Linked DNA regions of Diceros bicornis minor. The protein of the gene in region 2 purifies or fractionates together with the protein of the main gene of each other region. This does not show direct contact. Links are inferred from orthologs where the notes say so. Each region holds a gene or a part of one and is shown on either strand. Other genes may lie near its edges.

Region 1 (7,379 bases), on a different chromosome or scaffold from region 2:
TCTTTCTGTCCTCCCACACTCTGGACAATTCTATTACAGTTCTCATCACTCTGTATTTTAATTATCCTTTTTTTGGCTCATCCCACACAACTACGAATTACTTGAGACCTGTCTCTCTCCTCTCTGTATCCTTAGCACAGTATATGGCATATTGCGGACTGACTTTTAATATATGTTTCAGTAAAGAGACAAATGAAGAACTCAGAAGTATTAATGATAATTACTATATTAGAAATAATACAATAAGATAAAGAATGGCTTTAAGAGCTTCTGCAGCAAGTAAAACGCTGCTTTATCTACGCAGATTTAACATGGAACAGTGATATTTTCAGGAGGTTCGGATAAGCTGTTTGTCTCAGCATCATATGCCCTCAAAAAAATTTCACTTTTTCTATTGGTACCTATTTCTTCTTTCACGACCTTGTCAAATTTCCATTTTTTTTCTTTCTACTTTCAGTAATAAACCATGAGATTCCCAATGTATTGCTTATCCTTATGTATGCAGAATCACCCTAAGCCAAAATCCTTTTAGACAAGATTGCTCTGAATATAAGATTTCTACTAAACAATCTACTGATGTTTGTAAACCTTGTTTTGTTTTTTTCAGCTGCTCTTTGCTGATTCTAATCAAATTGTTTTTCCTCCTGTCAGGGGTTCTTTCCTTCTCTTCCCTATCTTCTCAACCTCCATCTTTTTTCTACTTAATTTTGACAGTATATCGCAAATCAAACAGAGGCTACCTTTCTTCTGCTATACATACAATCTAATCACCTTAGATCACTTGTGATAACCACTGTATTTAGCGTTTTGTTGTTGTTGTTGCTTTGTTTTGTTTCTAAAGTCACTACTCATGCTTTCGTTAATGCTCAAAATACAACTCATGCTAAGCTGCTTTCTTGCCTATCTCGGAGTTATTGAGATTCTGGAGGGTTCAGGGTCATTCAGACAGTCACCAATATTTACTGAGAGCTTATATGTTCCAGGTACTCTGTGAAGTACTGGAAATACAAAAATAAGTAAGGCAGACACAGCCCCTGCCTTGGTGCTTACAATCTAGAAAAGAAGACAGACAATAAACAAACAAGTGGGCCAGCTCCGTGGCATAGTGGTTAAGTTCACGCATTCTGCTTCGGTGGACACGGGTTCGCCGGGTTGAATCCTGGCATGGAGCTACATACGGCTCATCAAGCCATGCTGTGGCAGCGTCTCACGTACAAAATAGAGGAAGACTGGCAAAGGCATTAGCTCAGGGACAATCTTCCTCACCAAAAAAAGAAAAAAAAAAGAAAAAACAACAAACAAGTATGAATAATTTCATCATGACTGTGCCAGATGCTGCACAGCAACATAGGGTACTATTGGAATACTGTGTGCTGAACATCTGATAATTAGTCCTGTGAACTGAAACTTTACAGTAAGTAGCTTGTAGACTTGTGACCTATTTTCAAAACTGCAGAAACACTGCTAGCACCTTTTAAAATTCAAATCATCTCTCATCAACAAGAATCGGACAATGGCACACAACAGATGTCATGCATTAGGATGGGTGCCAAGTTTTTTATTTTTTCATCTTTAAGAGAATCAGTTTATTACAAATAAACATTTCCACAAAGCACTGCTTGATTACAGCAAGTCTGGTATACTTTCTGATCACACCCACTTTCACATGCTGCTGGCTTAACAAAAATCCCTTCCAACTTTGGGGCCTAATTTTCTAAAAGGAAAAAGAAAGAATTAACAGGGGATTCCTCCTCCATGGCAGGCACCGAACCTGGTGCTTTCAAATCTATTACCTGACGTGATGCTCACAACAACCCCAAGAGCAAGTTAGGACTATCCTTATTATTTTATGAGTGTCATGTCTTGAAATAGGTTTCTCAGGACCAACCTTCTAAAAACAGCAACTGCATCCAGGCTCTCTATCCCTTTACCCTGCTTTGTGTTTCTTCAGACCACCTGCCTCAGTGATATTTTATTGATGATTCCATGGTCCTTCCCCTCCTCCCAGACCCCAAGAACTTAAGCACGTTGAGAGCGTGAGTTCCTGTAACAGTGTCGGGCACAGTTGTTGGAGTCAGTAAACACTTGTCGAAGGAATGAAATACAGAAAGAGAGGCTTCAAAAGGTTATGTGGCCATGCCAGAGCGGAACGAAATAAGGAAGAAGAGAGACCTTTCCCCTCGAAGTCGGACGTGTGCCTACACTTGAATAGCACATCCACCAGAAGACGAAAACCGCCAGGATGGGAAGGGAACAAAAAAAACCAGTTCAGATCCCAGCTGCGGGTCATTTCCAACATCAGCCTGTCCGTACCTGGTACTGGGAGAGGGAGGGCTCCTCGCCGGCGCCGCTGAGGCCCCGAAGGCGAACCACCAAGAAGGAGCTGCCTTCCCCATCCCACAGGAAGAGCTCTCCGCCGAGGCCTAAGACCAGGTTTCTCGTAAGCAACTGCGGCGGCGGCGGCGGCGACGAAGGCAGTGATGAAGAAGCCGGTTTCTGAGCCTCGGCTGGGCTCTGGTTTTTCAGTCCTTCCCGCAGCCGCGTGAACACGACGTGGTTAGGAAGCCAGCTCTGCCACAGCTCACCGTCGCCCGCGGGGCCCTCGGCGGCCGCCATCTTTGGCCCAACTGCTCCCTTCACTCCAGTTGCTCAACCCGCCGCTGAGCGCAGCCAATCCGCAGCCAGCCGTCCACTGCTTCAGCCAATCGTCGAGCAGGCAGCCCGGAAGCACGAGGCTAGAGTGGGGGCGGGGCGACGGTGAGACCAACCGCAGCCAAAGGGGGCGGGACAGACCAGTACCTGCTTAGAGACAGCTTTGGTGCTGCGGAAAGTCAGTACCTGCGGGAGCGCCTGAGACCTGTGTAGTGTCTGATTGCTTATTGGACACTCACACCTGGATAAACCTACACATCCAAAACCTCCCCTCAAGACTTACTTCCCAAATGTCACTACTTCAGTCACCCATCCTTGAGATGCCCAAATGTGTCTCCGTGTGGGGCCGGCCGGTGAGACAACGCTTCCCAGAATTCCCTGCGAGCCAGCGCGATCGGCACCCAGAAACTACAACTCCCAGGGTTCTGCGCGCTCCCGAGGAGGGGGGCGGAGCTTTCTGGCGGCGACTCCCGCGAAGAGCAGATGGCAGAGCCCTCAGGGTCTCGGCGCCGCTCGCTGTACAAACTGGTGGGCTCGCCGCCTTGGAAAGAGGCTTTTCGGCAGGTGAGTGTGGGGTTTGGGAAGCCTTGGCTGGGCCGTCGTCACTCCTCTTATCCGTGCTGGAGCCGCTCTCCTCCGTGCCTTCGCCTCAGCCCAGCTGGGGGACTCAGGTGCCGGGAGCGCTTGGCCAGTGGAGGTGGACCTGGACCCTGGCCGCCCGCCTGTGGAGCTGGCCTTGGCCACTGCCCGGCCGCCTCCCAGAGTTTCTGGACCCCTAGGTGTGGGATTAGCCCGGGCCGGCCCAGTCCCAGGAAGCCTTAATTTTGATTTCGGGTTTGTATTAAATTTGAAGTGTGGTCATGACCGCTCCTCTGCGCTTCTGCGATAACGCCACCACCGCCTGCTGCTGTTGGATAGGTGGGCACCGAGAGAGGCGCTTTGTATGCGTACCTCATGCGAGATAGAGATAATTTCTATTCCAGAGAGGAATCGAGTAATAAGAAGTTATTTCTAATTCCAGAAATTATTTCTGCTCCAAATTGTTTCTTCTAAGCCTCAGTTACTAAGTCTTAGCAAAGTTGTGCCCTAAGTCAGTTCTGACCGCTTGTGCACTCGGCATAGTTCCTGTAAGTAATATGGCCTACCTTTCCAGGAATCTCTAAAGTAGTGGGTATATCCCAGGAAAATAATCTGATGATAGAAATGACTGTTGACAGCAGGGTTTCTCAACCTTAGCTATTGACATTTTGAGGAAGATGGTTCTTCCTTGTGGTGGGCTGTTCTGTGCATTGCAGAATGTTTAGTGGCATCCCTGGCCTCTACCCACTAGGTGTCAGTAGCCCTACAACTAGAGTTGTGACAACCAAAAATGTCTCCAGGCATTGCCAAATGTCCCCTGGGGGACAAAATCGCCCCAACTTGAGAAACACTGTTGTACAGGAAGGCGACTATCATAGCCATATCTAGAGTAGCAAGAATTTGGAGCAACCTAAATGTCCTGTAATAGCACAGTGGATGCTGAGTTATCACCACCCAGCCATTGAGAAAACTGGCATTGAGGACAGAATATGAGATATAGTAATCTGGAAACACATGAACAAAGCATTGTGGTTTCACCTGTCTACATGTGGATAAGGACCAGAGAGGAATGTGCAAAAATAACAATAGTTAGGATTATAATTGAAATTTTGTGTCTATAAGTTTCCTTTAATGTTTTAACAACTAATCTAAGAGGTTTTTTGTTAAAAATGGAATGGGTTTTTTTTTCCCCCCATCCTTCTCCTTCTCCCAAGGGATGCCTGGAGAGAATGAGAAACAGCCGGGACAGGCTCCTGAACAAATACCGCCAGGCTGGAGGCCATCTACCAGGGGGAGCTCAGAACACCCTTCTAGTGCAAGAGGTGATGGAGGAAGAGTGGCATGCTTTGCAGTCAGTGAAGAGCTCTCCAGAGGCCTTGGCTCAGGTCAGGCTGGGATATGTGTTTTCAGGGAGGGTGCTACAGCACCAAGAATGGCTAGTGTCCTCTCTGTACCTGTTTCCCCAAGTCCTCTAAACCCATCCATCCTCTGGCCCGCAATCAGGATTCTAACTGCCTTTAACCCAGGTTCTCCTACCCTTAATGTGAGACTCGTCTAGATTAATGGTTCATAAATACCAGACTGTCGACCAGTTGCATCATTGCAGCATAATGTTTCATAATTAGTTTCATAATCACTTATGAAACTAAAAAGAAAGAAATTTCACTCCTTGGCTCCACCCCTTGAAATTTTGATTCAGTAGGCACGGGCTAGGAATCTCTCTTTTTGAAAAGATCTCCAGGGCCATCCCCGTGGCTTAGCGGTTAAGTGCGCGCGCTCCACAACTGGCGGCCCAGGTTCGCATCCCAGGCGCACACCAACGCACCACTTCCCCGGCCATGCTGAGGCCGAGTCCCACATACAGCAACTAGAAGGATGTGCGCTATGACATACAACTATCTACTGGGACTTTGGGGGAAAAATAAATAATAAATAAATAAAATTATAAAAAAAAAAAAAAAAGACCTCCAGAGGGGCCGGCCTGGTGGCGCAAGCAGTTAAGTGCACACGCTCTGCTGCGGCGGTCCGGGGTTCGCCGGTTCGGATCCCGGGCACGCACCGACGCACTGCTTGTCAAGCCATGCTGTGGTGGCGTCCCATATAAAGTGGAGGAAGATGGGCACGGATGTTAGCCCAGGGCCAGTCTTCCTCAGCGAAAAAAAGAGAAAGATTGGCAGATGTTAGCACAGGGCTGATCTCCTCACAAAAAAAAAAAAAAAGAAAGAAAAAAAATTTCCAGGAGCTTTCTGATTCTAATCTCAGTCAGAGTTGGGAGCTGGATGTGGATAGGAAACCATTTACCGTGTATCAGGAGGAGCACTGGGTTGGAAGTCAGTAGTTCCAGAATTCTGATCCGGGTTTTGCTATTGACTCTTAACTCTACTCTGCCTCTTTGAGCGTTAATTTTCACATGTATAATATGAAGAAGATACTGTTAGCATTGTGAGGACAATATAAGAAAACAGGTAGGAAACTGCTTTGGAAACATCAAAGCTCTCTATAATAATGATGCATTATTTGGTGCCTTCTATGTGTCCTACAGTATCTTCAATGTTTGAGTTACATAATCACAATCAGTGCTCACAAATACCCTCTGCGGGAGGTTTTATTCCCACTTTACAGAGGCCCAAACTGAAGTTTACAGAGGTTAGGAACTTTCCAGCAGTCACATAGCTCTGGCAGAACCATATACTTAGCTGCTGCACTATACTGTCTCCTTCAAATTTGGTGCCATTATTTTGTCCCTGGGTGGTTAATTTAATCTTTTGTTGATGACTTCTCAGCATGACCACATTACTGTATTATCAGCATTTTCTGCAGAAGGCCTTGGCTGATTTTTTCAGTTAAATCTGAGTTCTTCAAGCCAGCCTCCAAGTATGAATCATTGTGGGGCTTGTCAGCTGACTATAACCTCAAACCTCTGATGACCCCACTTTCTCTTGCAGTTGGAGGGGCCGATGGACCTGACTGTGCTGGAGGAAATCCAACAGGAGCTGATTGACCAAGGTGACCTCTGGGAGTAGTCCTTCCTACTATGGGGCTACTCAAGGGGCGGGCCCTGTGGCCTAGTGGTTAAGTTCAATGCGCTCTGCTTCAGCGGCCCAGGTTTGGTTCCCGGGTGCGGACCTACACCACTTGTTGGCGGCTGTGCAGTGGCGGTGACCCAAATACACAAATGGAGAAAGATTGGCACACTTGTTTAGCTCAGGAGGAATCTTCCTCAAGGGAAAAAAAAAAAGGAAGGAAGATTGGCAACACATGTTAGCTCAGGGCAAATCTTCCTCAGTGAAACAAAAAGATAAAAAAAAAAAAAAAAAAGCCTCAAGCTACTCTAGTGTTGATGTATTTTCTAAACAGAATTAGTTCTTAACTCCCCTTCTTCTACTTCCATCTTCAGTGTCCAGAAGTCTCTATTTTTATTCTGAAGTCTTGGCTGTCTGTCTTCAGCACACTGAAGACTCCTTCCATGATACTGTTATCTCCTATGACTACCCTACAAGGTAGTAGGAGACAGAAGAAAGTGGTATCTTACACAGGTTGTATAGCTAGTGGTGGAGTTGGGAAGCAAAATTAATTTTGTGAGTCCAGTTCCTATGTTTATTCTATCCTACAGTACCTCTCTATTAATGGATTAATAGTAATCCTGTTACCTTACAGGATACAGTGCATGATCAGATCTCTTGTGCACTACCTAATTTAAGTGCCTTCTCTCTCAATCCATTCTTTACTGACTCCCCAGGGTTTTGTGAGCATCTGCTTCCTGAGGTATCCATAGCACCGTAGAGTGCATAATTTAGCACGTTATATAGTAAGTTATTTATTCCGCATAGCCCTATCTTGATTAGGCTTAGTTTTTATCATCTGTAAAATAAAGATAATAGACCTACCCTATAAGTTTGTTTGTAGGCGTAAATAACATGTGTGGAAGACTTAGAGCAGTGCCTGGCATACAGAAAGCTTTCAATAAACGATAGCTGTTATGGTGAAGAGGCCAGAGCATGGACTCTTGAGCCAGACTGCTAAGATTCACTTCTTAGCTTTTCCGTCTTAACTTGTGTGGCACAGAGCAAAGCATTTCATCCCCCTGTGCTTCAGTTTCTTCATCTTTAAAATGAGGATAATAGCAGTGAAGTTAATACATAGAAAAG
Region 2 (7,009 bases):
ATAGTTGTATATCATAGCTGCACATCCTTCTAGTTGCTGTATGTGGGACGCGGCCTCAGCATGGCCGGAGAAGCGGTGCGTCGGTGCGCGCCCGGGATCCAAACCCGGGCCGCCAGCAGCGGAGCACGCGCACTTAACCGCTAAGCCACGGGGCGGCCCTAGAAGTATTATCTGTTGTGTCTCCTATCATCATTATTGTCTTTGGCCTAAGATTGCCCTCTCCCCAACTTCTCCCCTCACAGACAAGACTCACAGGCCAGAGAAAATTCTTCATTTTATTTCCGCTCACAACCCCCCAAAGGATCAGTCCCCGCCCTCGCTCACCTAGAGGCAGCCCCTCTCCCAACACCTGCACAAAACACTGATTTCCTCCCAGAGCTAAAATGAACACCCGGTGCCCACTATGGCCATCCCCCGCCCTGCCCGCCTCCCCATCTGCCTGCACATCCACCTGCTCTGTGAACTTGGCTACCTTTTGGCTCCCTGCCCCAATGGAGCTCCCGAAGGTCACCTGGCTTGGCATTTTGATTACATGGGTGCCATTCTTCAAACCCTCCCTGACTTGCGTCCCCAGATGGCTCTCCTGGCCTCATTCTGCATAGCTTCCTGGCCACACGTCCCTGTTTGAGAGACCAGGTTCCCAAGCTCTGCCCTGCTCCCCGAATTCCCTGTGGGCCTCAGCCCCTCGGCTGTTACTTGAGGAGTACAGATGTTGACTAATGCCAAACATCCATGATTCTGGGGAGGGAGGAGGGGAGCAAACTCAGAAATGGATGAGCAGAGAGGAGAATAAAAGCAGAGAGAGAGGGAGAGAGAGAGAGATCTGGAATGAAGGTGGAGGCAGGGGGATGCCGAGGGACTCTCCCACCTCAGCTCCAGAAACAGAAGTGACCCAAGCTAAAGACCAGCGCCCCCTACTGCCCAAAGCCCCTGCCCGGCTAGCTGCTGCGGGTCCTCTGGCTTCGAGCCTTGTACACTTCGATGAGCAGATCCTTGACGTACTGGATCTCCCGCTCCACTGACTCCGCCCTCTCCCTCAGCTCCCGGTTCCGAGCCTCCAGCCCCTGGCACTCGCCCTCCAGGGCCTCGCCCTCTGCCCGCTTCCTCTGGCGGTACCTCAGAGCTGCCGACTTGTTCTGGTCTCTCTTCTTTTGCTTGCGGTCCCCTCGGGTGGTGGCAGGATTGGGGTAGGGGGCCGGGCGAGAGGGCTGAGGTGGAGGAGGAGGGGGCTGCTGTGGGGGAGGCAAGTGGGCCAAACCCGAGTCCCCATGCCCGGCCTCACTGCGGCAGCAGATGGCCAGCAAGTCAAGCGTATCCAGGGCAGGGGGCTGGGGGAAGTCAAAGGTGGGGAGGGGGAGGGGGAGGGAGGGCGCTGGTGCTGGTGGTGGTGGTGGGGAGGATGGCGGGAGGAGTGGGGCATCAAGGAAGAAGTCTTCCATCTGCTCCAGCTCCTTCTTGAGGAGGGAGGCCATGGCTTCCAGGTCAGGTGGGGGTGGGGAAGGTGGGGGGAGGGCACCTGGGGGCAAGGGGGGCTCCAGAGGGAGAAGGGCTGTAAAGTCAACCCGCTCAGTCATCCAGTCAGAGAAGCCGTCACCTGGAGGAGTGCAGGGGGACATAAAGGTCCTTGAGTTCCTGGTCCTCCACCCAACCGGGTGCTCACTCATGTCAGCCTCATTCATTCCATTCACTGAGTAAACCCACCAACTAGCCAATCAGTCAACCAACCAATCAATGAATCATCAAACCAGCCAACCAACCAACCAATAAACCAGTCAAACATCTAACTAACCAATTAACCGAGTCAACCAATCAACCAACCAACCAACCAACTAAATGAATCAGTCAACCAACCAATCAACCTTTTAACCAATCAATCAGTGAACCAGTCAACCACCCAATGACCCAAACAACAAAACAATTAGCCATTACTTCAACCATTCCAACATCCTCTTTACTGATTACTCTACACCTGTGGTTTGTCTGATTTACTCTCTAGTTTATTCTTAAAAGGCAAACTAGATTGCACATACACAACACACCCCGTTTCCTCTTTAACTCATTAAGTATTGAAAACCCACTATGTACCAAGCATGTCGGACACATTAATGAATAAAATAATTCCTTCCTCAGGGCCTCTGCATATGCTGTTCCCTCCTCCTGAAAAGCTATTCCCTTGGATCTTTTCATGGCTCATTCCCTCCCATGCTTTAGGCCTCAGCCAAAACGCTACCTACTTGGAGAGGGTTTCCTGGCTACACACTATAAACTAGGTCCCCGTTGTCATTTTTCAGCTAAATGACTGTTTCCCACTTATGCCACATTATCATTGAATATGTCTCGTCTGTCTCCTCACTAGAGTGTGAACTCCAGGAGGACAGTGATCGTGTCAGTCTTGTTCCCATCTGTATCCCCAGCACCTGACATGTTATAGGTGCTCAATAAATATTGATGGATTGAATGAATAAATGAATGAAGGAATTCTTCCTCCTTCCCCCTGCCCCCCATACCCCAATTCACCCCACCTCCATTCTTTGCCTGCCCTTACCTGCCAGGGGCTCTCCCCCCCCTGGAAGCCCGCCCTCCAGGGCTCCCCCAAGGACCTCATAGGGGCCCAGGGGGGCAGGGGCCAGGGGGAGTTTCCCATAGTCTACGAGCCAGCCCAGCCCGCTAGCTGGGAGCAGGGCCCTGTCCAGCTCCAGCCCCAGGGTCGCCAGGAGTGACATGGCTGCAGCACAGGCGCTGGGCGCGGATGGCAACGAAGGAGGCTGCACCGGCAGCTGACAGGGGGCTCTGGAGGTTGCTCAGCTGGGCGAAGACAGGCACCAAGGCGGAAGTGGAGGACCTACATGTGGGAGGCAAAAGCGACTGGGGTCAGAAGCCAGCCTCACCCACTACGGAAGTCACAGGGAAACCAAGCCACACCCCCACCTCCCTGGGGTCCTCCCCCCTCCCCCACTCCTGCTTCCAACTGGGCTTGGGACGAGCCTAGCTCTCAGAATTCTAAATCTGCTCTTTCTTTCCCCAAATCTCTGAGGCCCACCCACTCCCAAGGGAATTCGCTTTAGGATCGACTTACTTTTCTTTAGAATCCCCAAGCCCGGATCCTTCCAATACAGAAACCTACAGGTCTCCCCGGGGAATTTCCTTAACTCCTCCCACCCACCTCATAATATTCCCCTTCGTAAAAAAACTCAATCCCAGGGGAATTTTCTTCCAGCCGCACCACCCCCTCTAAAATATTTCCTTTAGGCCCCATCGCCTCCCTCGAGTCCATCTCAAATCAGCTCCCAGGGGAATTTCCCCCTGCCCCGCCCCTTCATCCATGTGATCCACTCAAATCCCACTCTGCCCTTTTAACTTTGCGGTGACCTCCCCCGACCCTCTAAGTCCCGCCCCTCACTGTTTATCTTAGCCCCACCCCTCCCCGATGATTCCCCCGAGGCCCCACCTCTTTCTCGGATCGAAACCCCGCCCCTCAGCAAACGGTTCGCTGAGCCCCGCCCCTCTCACAATGGGTTCCCTCAAGCCCCACTCCTCCCGATGGCTGTGATCCTAGCTCCACCCCCTTTTTAACAGGTTGCCTCTAAGTCCCGCCTTCTACCCTGTCAATCTACACCAGCCCTCGCCCCAACAGGTGCCCGATGAAAGAGAAGCTATGCAGTGCGCCTGAGCAATGTGAAGCCGGGACGCAGGTCGTGGGAGCCGGGAGGCCGGGGAGGAACAGCTCTCCTCGCCACCACCCTTCCACTCCCGGCTCTCTAACCCAGGGCCAAAGCACATGCTTCGTCCTCCTGGGGGTCACTGCGCATGTGCGGCTGCTTACTGCCCGCCCTTCGGACGCAAATACGGACTCTGGTGGGCTGCTGCGCATGAGCAACCGCGAGAGGGCGGAATCGTCCTGGGGGGTAGTGCGCAGGCGCAACCTCACGCGGGCCGTCTTTAAACTCCAACACTCGCTGGAAGAACGCACCCTCCCCCCCTCGAGCCGAGTGCGCATGCTCCGCCTCGCGTCGACGGCCCGTTTTCCCTCTTCTGCGCCTGCGCGACCGTGATTCCTCGCTCTCGTCTCGCCATCCCCCAGGTCGCGTTGTGAGGGCCGCGAGCTTCCAAAGGGCGGGAAAGGCGGTTGGAGAGGGAGGGGCGAGCGTTACTCACTCCATGGCTGCAGAAAGGAGAGGCGACGGCGGCCTCGGCTGAAGAAAGAAGGCGGGAGCGGAGAGCGCAAGCGCGGTGAGCGCGGAGATGGGCCGTGAGGCACGGAGGGGTGGCGGCTACAGAGCCATGGCCGGGGCTACGCGGGCGGAGGCGGCGTCGGGGTAGCGTGAGGAGAGATCGTGATCTGAGGACGGGGACTGAGGCGGCGCCGGGGACTGGGAACAGATATACCGGGGGCGGCGCAGCACGGCCCGCTCGGATCCCTCCGCGCCCCGCCCCCGCGCGGCCCCAACCGGGGGGCGGGCCTGGCCTCCCCTCGGGATCCCGGGATCCGGCCCTCTCTTCCTTCCGACCCCGGGATCCGGCCCTTCTGCTTCCTCTGATCCGGGGATCCAGCCCCCTCTTCCTCCCGACCCCGGGAGTTCCGGCCTTCCCTTCCCCCCGACGTGGGGGTCCAGCCCCCTCCTCCCTGCGATTCCGGGAATTCGGCCCCTCCTCTTCCCCGAGACCCGCGTCGGTTCATTTCTTGTTTCCCTGCCCCGGTTCACGAATTTCCGGCCAGCCGCATGCTCGTCTCCTTATCCCCCAACTGCCGTCCCCCAACCCTTTTTGTGGTTCGAGGCTGGCGTGAGTCATAGACCGGCCAGGGTGGCCTTGGGCATATAACTTAAGTTCTCTGGCCTCATAGATGGGGAACCGTTCGCAAAATGAGGTGGGGTTGTTTGTGCGAATGAAATAAGCGGAGAGCCGTGGGACCCAGGGCCCGGCTCCCTGCAGGCCTGTTCGGTGTGTTTTATTATTAATACGAATTCTGGGGCTCGGTCTGACGCCTTGCTCTCCTCCTGCCAAGAGCCCCAGACTCCTGACCATCCGACACCTGCTAATAGGTCATTCTTTAGCAGTGTCGCCTTTACTCCTCAGTGTCCAGCCGTCCCCACCCTCCTCCACGCCAGATGATGGGCGGTCAGCCCCCTCTCGGTGCAGGGAATTCAGGCATCGTCGCCCTCGCTGTTTTCTCCATCCCGTGCCCACCTCCCCTCAGCGCTTATCCTCAGCACTTCTTTCGAGACACTTGGTTCATTCTTCTGCCCCTGCCCCTCACCCTGACTTCCTTTCAAAGAGTCCCCCGCCTCTGCTGCGCCCCACTGGATCCGTGTTCCAGCCCTGCCAAAAATGGGGAGACCTACACTTGCATTTGCTAAAAGAGGAGAGCTTCCTCGCCATCCCCTCCCTGTGGCTGGGCCCTCCACCAGCCCAAGTGGATGCGGGTCTTTCCTCTGCTGCAGAAACCCCTCCCTTTCCCACCCTGCCTCTGTCCACATCAGGATGTGACACCTGGAGTTCAGCCTTCATCACTTTTGTGTTGGTTATGAAACTGAATCAAGATCCAGAGAAGGTGGGGGAACCCCGATCTTGAGAGTTATCTGGGAATGAACATACGCAGGCTTTTGTTGCATGCAGCAAGTCCTTCTTGGGATCTGACCACTTTCCCTTAGACACTTATTGTCCACTCTGCTGGTATTTGAGCACTGGCGCTATAGGGGCTGCGTTATACCTAGTCGGTATAGAGGAGCAGTTAAGAGCACACTCTGGAACCAGGTTATTGCGTTCCATCCCTGACTGCACCGCACTTAGTAGCTCACTGGCAATGTCCTTTATTTCCCTGTGCCTCAGTTTCCATTAATAATACCAGAATGGAGTGTGGAGTTTGGTTAATAGAAACGTACCAATGTACGTGGCCATTATTATATTGTACCTATTTCTTAGTACTGTTAACGAGGATTAAATAAGTTAACCGAGGTCAAGCGTTTAGACTAGTGCCTGGCACACAGTAGGTGCTACCTAAGGGGGTATTATTATTATTATTATTAGTGAGGTGTGTGTTTTATCTCCTTTGCTAAGCAGTAAGTTCTTTAAAAAGTCTTCCACCTTTTAAGTGAGACTTAGGGGCCGACTTTCTGCTTCTCAGTATAGATGTTGAGTAACAGCAGGTGAGAGTAGGGTAGGCTCTTGGACAGACTGCTGGCAGTGAGGAGGCCCAGTCATCACCCAGAGTCTTCTCCTTCTGGAAAGACCTAGGTTATACACGTGGACTAGGTAAAGTATTTTTCTTTAAATCAACTTTTTATTTTGGAGTAATTTTAGATTTACAGAAAAGTTGCAAAGATAGTGGAGTTGCCATATACCCCTCACGCAGTTCCCCCGTTGTTGACACCTTAGATTACTTGGTTCATTTGTCACAACTAAGGAACAAACATCATACATTTCTATTAACTAAACTCCACACTCTGTTCTGGTTTCACTAGTTGCGCCCTAATGCCCTCTTTTTATTCCGGCGTCTGTCCACGATGCCATATTACATTTAGTCATCTGTCTTCTTAGCGTTCTCTGGGCTGCGGCAGGTTCTCAGATTTCCCTTGTCTTTCATGACCTTGACGGCTTTGAAGAGTGGTGGTTGGGTATTCTGTGGAATGTCCCCCAATTTGGTTTTGTCTCATAGACTGGGGTTATGGGTTTTTGAGAGGATGGCTAGGTAGGATATTTTTTAATAACTGGAAATGAGTGTTCGGTGTATGCTGACTGAGAAGACACTAGGGCAGGGACCCTGGTCCCCTGTCCCAGTCCCTTGTGCCTTTTTCTCTCTATAGGTGTTGGATCCCACCTAGTTCAGCCCTGGTGCCAACTGCCCCACTCAAGCACTTGACTCAGTCCTGCTGAGAGGGTGCCAGTTCGCACACTTAGCTCCCTAGCTCTTCCCAGCATGTTCTAATTTATGGGCGGTAGGTCATCAGTGGCTGTCTGTGAGACCAGGTCTCAGCACCCTGAGCCCTGTCCTGTGCCCACCCCTGACCCA

What was found. Proteins that work in one complex are often made in the same cells at the same time.
Region 1: the proteins of NUP62 (region 2) and NUP88 purify together in Homo sapiens (co-immunoprecipitation; 4 studies listed by BioGRID and IntAct, counting the BioPlex papers as one, with this or other methods). This does not show direct contact. The link is inferred for Diceros bicornis minor from reciprocal best matches to the Homo sapiens genes NUP62 and NUP88.

What each region holds. Positions count from the first base shown.
Region 1 is NC_080757.1:12,079,939-12,087,317, forward strand, and holds the start of NUP88 (nuclear pore complex protein Nup88), read right to left. Parts: upstream 3,013-7,379; 5' UTR 2,936-3,012; exon of another isoform or gene 2,892-2,935; intron 2,736-2,891; 5' UTR 2,617-2,735; coding exon 2,314-2,616; intron 1-2,313. Other genes in the region: RPAIN (RPA-interacting protein), read left to right, coding at 3,136-3,216, 4,446-4,616, 6,177-6,237. UniProt on the Homo sapiens protein: Component of nuclear pore complex.
Region 2 is NC_080773.1:25,283,318-25,290,326, reverse strand, and holds the start of NUP62 (nuclear pore glycoprotein p62), read left to right. Parts: upstream 1-4,005; 5' UTR 4,006-4,230; exon of another isoform or gene 4,231-4,384; intron 4,385-7,009. Other genes in the region: ATF5 (cyclic AMP-dependent transcription factor ATF-5), read right to left, coding at 939-1,594, 2,546-2,723. UniProt on the Homo sapiens protein: Essential component of the nuclear pore complex. The N-terminal is probably involved in nucleocytoplasmic transport.